Danio rerio: one gene and its partner. The protein of the gene in region 1 purifies or fractionates together with the protein of each later gene. This does not show direct contact. Links are inferred from orthologs where the notes say so. Each region holds a gene or a part of one and is shown in the gene's direction. Other genes may lie near its edges.

Region 1 (3,658 bases):
TTTTGTAAGCTTGGCTGAGATTCATTTCTGTTTGTTCAACAGACTCGCAGAAAGGGATTTCCCCGCTTGAAATTTTGATTACTCTTTATGCACATCACCACACCTCTTCATGACCCAAAAAATGAGTCTCCAGCCCACTCTTCAAAACTTTTTCTGTGGTTAGTTTGAATCTTTTTGTCATCTTAGTGGGTCATTTGTTTCCCCTGACACTTCAGCCAACACTTTCAAGCCTTGCTTTCCTCAGCTATTGTAAAGCCTAAATGTTTAGAATAATTTATAATTAATAGTTTGACACTTTTTTTTTTTAATTACTCCCTGTTTTATTCCACAGGTACAGACATCCCAACATTATGGACTTTGTTGGCTACTGTATTTCAGGACAAACTTACTGTGTCATATATGTTTATATGCCCAACGGCTCTTTAGATGACCGGCTGCGCAATGAGGTAATTTGCATTTCCATTCATTCGTTTTCCTTCGGCTTAGTCTCTAATTCAGAGGTCGCCACAACGGATTGAACCACCAACTATTCCAGCATATGTTTTACATGGCGGATAAACCGCCAATCACAACCCACTACTGGGAATTACCCATACACTCTCGCATTCACACACACTATGGCCATTTTAGTTTATTCAGTTCACCTAGAGCACATGTCTTCGGACTGTGGGGAACACCAGAGTAGAGGTCTGCGCAGGACAGATTTTTAAGTTTTGCTCCTGCCCGCACCCGCAATGTTTTATTCCACACCTGACCGCTCCTGCTGTATATTCAGCCTTTGTTCACCTGCTGCCCACTTAGAATCATTTTCTGCCCAACCGTTCCCACTAAATTTAGATCTGGTTTCCAAAATCTCCTGTTTAAATCGGGTACTAGCAATAGAAAGAGATAACAAACAAAACTGTGGGTTGTGCAAGGACTGTAGGCTAAATGTCTGCAATGAATGCAAGCTGAAGGACATCGCATCTTCACTTTGCTCTCCCATGTTCGTTAAGCCTGCTCTGAGGTTTGTTATGCAGGTGATGCGCGCACAGACTGCGCAAATAAAAAGCACGTGCAGAAAGCACTGGTCATGCATTCAGTCTGTTTAGATCAGTGATCTGAAGCAAAGCAAAGTCTCTTTTAAGGGAAGTCTGTTCATTTGGCCTTTGCTTTACAATACCAAGTCCTATGTGTTTTCTAAAATGGCAAAATCTACTTTATGAATCTAAAGTTTTAAAAATTCTAAGCACCAGTCTTGTGTGTTCCTGTGTAAATCAGAGCTTCTAATGGCAGCTGAAGGGACTTTACCAATAATGCCCTTTTGTTTAGGCGGTGGCGTCACGTGTATCAAAGAATTTCTATTATAAGAAAATGTATTTGCTTTCACTTCAACCCTTTCCAAAGCTGCGTGAATCCTTTTTGAATTATAGTCTATGGAAAGCCCCTATGTGCTTATTTTACATATAGTGAAAGTGAACAGAGCTGTCAAGTCAATGAGCACCACAAAGCTAGTCTGTATGACTCACATTTTAAGTGTTCTGAGGTCATGCAAAAGAATGAAAGAAAATCACCTTGTTTGTTGAGCTCTTTAATCTCAATTGCAAGTCTGTACATTAAAATAATGATGCATCACAATATTGTTTCACAAACTCTTCGACAAGATGTGGCATGTCACTGGTTTTCCTGGATTGAATATATGGATATACACTTAGTACTTTTATGATTGTTACGTTTTGCATCATGCAGTTTTATGATGTGTAAATAAGCCCTCAAGAGAGTGATTCTTGTAATGACATATTGATAAAGTTTTCATTTATGTTGGTCTAGTTCTGTCCGGTCTATGGGTTAGGTGTTATTCTCTGTTTTTTTTCTTTCAGGACAGCAATGCCCTCTCTTGGTCGCAGCGTGTAAATGTGTTGCTGGGAACTGCAAAAGCTATTCAGTACCTGCATTCATGCTCACCTGCTCTTATTCATGGAGACATCAAAAGGTGAGTGCAAGAATATGTATGATACATTTCAAAAGATTGAGCTGATTTCTTTTGTTTAAAAACAGGGCTTTTATTCTGCAAGGATGTATTAAATGAATAATTTTTTTAAATAAATAATATGAAGTATGTCACAACAAAAACCATTCATTTAAAATAAATGCTGTTCTTTTGACATTTGGATTTATCAAAGAATTCTGAAAACAGAATCATGGTTTGGTGTTACTGGTTTCACATCAGAAATCAGAAAGAGCTTTATTGCCAGGTATACAACAGAATTACAGAGACTGGACAAAAAAACTGATAGTAAATATACTTAAAAATAGAAGTAAGTAGTGAATGCAAATATACAAATTGGCAAGTGTACAGGTATATTACTATATACAACATTATATGTGCAGCTGTCATCTGCAAATTGTCATGTAAAGTATGTTGTTAAATAAATATGCGTATAAAAAGTAATGATGTTTTTTTTTGGGGGGGGGGGGGGGGGGGGGGGTAAATGCATTTTTTCATGTACGTAAATTAGTTTAAATAGGTTGCAATTGTCATTTTATGTAAATCAATAGGTGGCACCACCAGGCTTTTCACAAACCAGTCGTGTTCCCTTTATTACAGCTCTAACATCCTTTTAGGGGATCATCTTGAGCCCAAGCTCGGGGATTTTGGATTGGCGCGTTTATGCCGAAATCCTAATAAAACCCCAGGCAAGACATCCACTGTGGCTCAGACTGCAACGGTACGAGGAACTCTCGCATACCTCCCGGAAGAATACCTCAAGGATGGCCAGCTTGGAGTGGAGATTGATGCCTACAGTTTTGGAGTGGTGAGATGCATCACAGATGTTCATTGCGAAGACATAGCAGTAATCAGGGGTGCACATCAATTTTGGAGCAAAAGTGTTGATCTTATTGATCGACCAGATTTTAATGTGGTGCGTCAAAAAAACAAGCCGGAGACATAAAAATGGCCCTTTTTATGCTTGTCGTTTGCTCATCGGTGTAGTACTGAATGCCTTTATTTAATAACATAATTAACTAAAGAAACCACAATCTCTCTTGGCTACATTTCTTAGCTAGAGTTTTGTTTAGGACCTTAAATTGTAATGTTTAAGGAATAAATCAGATTCATGCCTTACCACACAAGGTATCTTGATGGGTTCTGCAAAGTATTCCAATGTCCACTCCAGTGAAGAAAATTAATAAAATATCATTTTATTCATAAATCCAGTTAAAAAGAAGAAAAAAACAATCACAATAGCAAAACAAAATCCTTAACTTTATCCTCTGTTGAGAATAAAGGGCCTAAGACATTCATTATACAGTCAGTTTAAGCGCACTGCTGGTCTGTCTGCACCAGCCTTTTATACGGTATTCCAGCCTTGAATACAGGCATAGAAATCCCCTCCAGTAAAAACACCGCAAAGTAACAATTAGTGTCTGATGTACGATTATCTGTTCTGATATTCCTGAGAATATTTGTTAATACATAGAAATCCCTTTCAGTAAATACACAGCAAAGTAGCAAGTAGCGTCTGATATACTTGAGAATATCTAAAGTTTGATATACTTGAGTATATCTGTCAATACATAGGAGAAATCCCTTTGTGTTCACTCTATAGGGTGACGAATTTGAATACAAACATATCAAAGCATTTCTTCTATTACATCAGCATTTGGTCATTCATTT
Region 2 (3,658 bases), on another chromosome or scaffold:
GAACCGGCCATTCTTTGTATGGTGTTCGGTTGCTATAACAAGGGGGCTGAAGACCATGGCCTCTATATGTCGCTGGAGTCCCTTTAGAGGTCAAAGTAGTAAGGTTTACCCTCACAACACTTCACTAGCTGCCTTCTGTTACACTTATGCACTGTGTAGATATACATACAGAGAGTCGTATGTTGTCTTTATTTATTTATTTAAATAATCAGGAGATGAAGTCTAAACCCATATCATTAAATGTATATATAAATATTATTACTTGGTTGTTAAACTAAAAAGGCTTGTAATTGATTGTGGATAAAATAATTATTCTGCATTTAAAACCAGAAGATTTTTTTTTCTTTTGATAAGTATTTTACAAAATACAGCCCTTTTTAATTAATAGCAACAGAAACTGGAGTTTCTTTATTGCGTCAGATGTCAATTTTGTTCTCAGTTGATTTGTTGAATGTCGGTTTGTGATCTCCAATCCAGAACATAAAAGCAGCCCTGGAGCAGTTTAGCTATGCAGCATAGAATACCATCGCAACAAATAACGATTAAAGCTGAGCTTTCTTACTGGTACCGAAAATCCAGGATTGGTGCAAACCAAAACTTAGCTGACTTGCCAGCTAATTCAGCTTCATTGTACAAGCCCCAGGTCTGCACATGATGGAAAGAGTCATGCAGATGGGAAATGAGCAAATGAGAAGAAAAGCAAAAACAGGAACCAGCAGCAGTAGCCCACAAGGACAAAACAGAAACTCTCTCTATAAAAAGGAAATAAAGTGGAGAGCGTTGCGTCTTTTATTTCAGTACATGTATTTATAAACAGGATTTAGTGCAACGAGCACCTCTCTATTCTTGGGAATTTCCATCCCACATTTAAAACCAAAATAAGCTCTTCAAACAAGTACCAGCACATGCAGAACTATTTTCCATCCTGTTTACTCTTGAGGCTAAACGGTGTAGGGACCGTAATTGTCACTTGACTCAAACCACATACAATAGTTTGCTCATTTAAGAATTTGTTTTTGCTCCTCAGATTCCTGATATACCAAGATATGGATTGTTTTTAATTGATTATTTGATTCCAGTATAGGGTTCGGTGTTAAGTTTTTAAGTGAGATTGTATTACTGAACAATACAAATTAGATACAAAAACATTAACAAAAAATTGACAGTTACAGTGCTTTTAACAGCAGTCTACAAACCGGTTTCAAATGGTTAAATCTTTAGCATAAATATGAAATTTTTTTTGCCTTTTCTGCTAATAAACAACACATTGACTTGTTTTTATTGCATCATAAGGGTTTTGTCACAAAACTTATGATTATTTACAGTAGTGTTGCTGACGTCCATGATTCCACTAAACATTGCCATCTTCAGCAATGTTTATGTTGGTTTGTCATTGTTTTTTTTTGGACAGTGAATCAAAAAACAGCCTGATTCAGTTCTGACATCTTGTAGACCAGCTAAGTTTTGTAAAAACAGTTGAATGCACATTTGCGAACTCGTACATTGGTAACGTAGTGCGATAATTTAAGACTCCGCAAATAAAGCAAGCAGGTTCACAATAAAAATACAAGTTATAATACTTAAGGTTGCTGATTAAAAAGGAAACCAGTTGGCTTCATATAAAGAAACGTATCATTGATGCTTCCCTTGCCTTCAATTCCTTGGTGCCTCATTTCAGTGCCACTTAGATGCCCGTTGACTAAAATCTAAATTCTGATTTGGTCCAGTGCATATTGATCATATGTACTGCTGCCAATGTTTCTCGTGCAAGTTCTAAAGTGATGGTAAAGTGACAGCTTTATTGTGCTATTCATTAAATGGGCAAAGTGTTAATGTGTATGTGTGTATATTTTTTCAAATTTAAATGTACCATCACAGCAGTGCTTATGAATTTATTTTAAATGAATTCCAATGAAAACGGCTATTTTGGTGCATTTGTGTTAAATGCAGCCCGGGTTAGATTTCAAAAGACTTTATTTCAAATTTTATTGATCATTAACTTTTAAACTGTATTGTGCAATATATACTTGTTTTTACTTCTACCACTAATATTACTGTATACAGAGTACCCACGCTAAGCCAAATGTCATGACTTTTACTGACTAAAATGATGTATTTTCATGACCTAATAGCACTTGAGCAGATTAAGAAAAATGTATCTTTAATCACGTTCTCATGTCACTTTTGTTAAGGATACAGTGCTAAAGCCCAAACAAAGATAGACTGGAAGTTCAAATGAATTAATGAAGTATTTTTTTTCAATTAATAACAAAAATCCCTGGCAGTCAAATTACCTGAAAAAGAATAAAAAATTCAGAAATTCCAGATAGCCCATGATCTGTGGTAACCCTGTGTTTATTAAAAAATGTTTCCCATCTGAGTCATGCAGTCACAGCAAGCTGTCTGTATGACAATATAAGATGTATCTGAGAATCTTTGAACTTGTCTGTTGTATCTTAGATCGGCCGATCGACGGAGGGCCCGATTGACTTTGTGGTGACTGACACTGTGTCAGGGGGAGGAGAGAGTGAGGAGACACCCATCACTCAAAGCACCATCTCCCGCTTCGCCTGCCGGGTGGTGTGTGAGCGTAACCCACCCTACACCGCACGAATCTTCGCTGCAGGCTTCGATTCTTCCAAGAATATATTTCTCGGAGTAAGTGCGGTTTTTATGCCTGGTCCTGAAATGGAATTGTCTGAGATGCATTACTAGATACTTTATCAAGCTATTATTTATAAATATATACTGCTGTCTGGGGAGTAATATACGTGTGCATGAGCTGTCTGGGGAAGTATCCACTTCTGCTGATCCTGTGGAACTGATCTAAACTTACCTGGTAAATATAGGTGTGTCTGGCTAACTGGAATGACTCGCCCATGTGTACCTAAAAACAAAGTGCGGTGCACATATTTTTGTTTATGTACAGTAATTAAATCTCTCTGCAGGAAAAAGCAGCCAAATGGAAGAATCCAGATGGTCACATGGACGGTTTGACTACCAATGGGGTGCTAGTCATGCACCCGCGGGGCGGGTTCACAGAGGAATCCAAGCCTGGTGTGTGGAGGGAGATATCAGTGTGTGGAGATGTTTACACACTGAGAGAAACACGCTCTGCTCAAACTCGAGGAAAATTGGTTAGTATGTGAGCGGTGTCTGTTCAGTGTAGTTTACCGCCTGTTTTCTCCAAGTAGGACATGTTCCTGGATTAACATCTATGTTGATCCTGGAACAACATTCGAATCAGCCAATCAGAATTAAGGGATACATTTACAGTTTAAGTTTAAGCTTGCGGTTTGGTTTTTGCACTTCTGCTTGATTGTTATACAACTATTATTCCGCTCAGATTTTGGGAATCATTTAGAATTATGGTCGGGTTTAGGAGTAAGGACTAAGTATGGATAACATTTTTGATCAAAAATGATGTTCCAGGATCAACATAGATGTAAATCCAGGATCTCGTCGTACTTGGCAAAATCAGAGAAAGGTCTGGCTGCAGACTTGGTGCAGATGCAACCTGAGCTGCATCCAATGCTTTTTAATGTGCTCGCCTAACCCCTAACCCTACTCCCTTACAGTGATGTCACTAGCTCCATTTAGTGCATTGTTTCTCACATTGCATCTCTGAGCGATGCAGTCTCAGCTTGCATCATAAAGG

Evidence for each region. Proteins that work in one complex are often made in the same cells at the same time.
Region 2: the proteins of irak1 (region 1) and peli2 purify together in Homo sapiens (affinity purification with western blotting; 7 studies listed by BioGRID and IntAct, with this or other methods). This does not show direct contact. The link is inferred for Danio rerio from reciprocal best matches to the Homo sapiens genes IRAK1 and PELI2.

The regions. Positions count from the first base shown.
Region 1 is NC_133183.1:9,121,818-9,125,475, reverse strand, and holds part of irak1 (interleukin-1 receptor-associated kinase 1), read left to right. Parts: intron 1-42; exon of another isoform or gene 43-87; coding exon of another isoform or gene 88-158; intron 159-331; coding exon 332-446; intron 447-1,859; coding exon 1,860-1,972; intron 1,973-2,587; coding exon 2,588-2,795; intron 2,796-3,658.
Region 2 is NC_133192.1:49,057,945-49,061,602, forward strand, and holds part of peli2 (E3 ubiquitin-protein ligase pellino homolog 2), read left to right. Parts: intron 1-2,460; coding exon 2,461-2,658; intron 2,659-2,948; coding exon 2,949-3,137; intron 3,138-3,658. UniProt on the Homo sapiens protein: E3 ubiquitin ligase catalyzing the covalent attachment of ubiquitin moieties onto substrate proteins. Involved in the TLR and IL-1 signaling pathways via interaction with the complex containing IRAK kinases and TRAF6.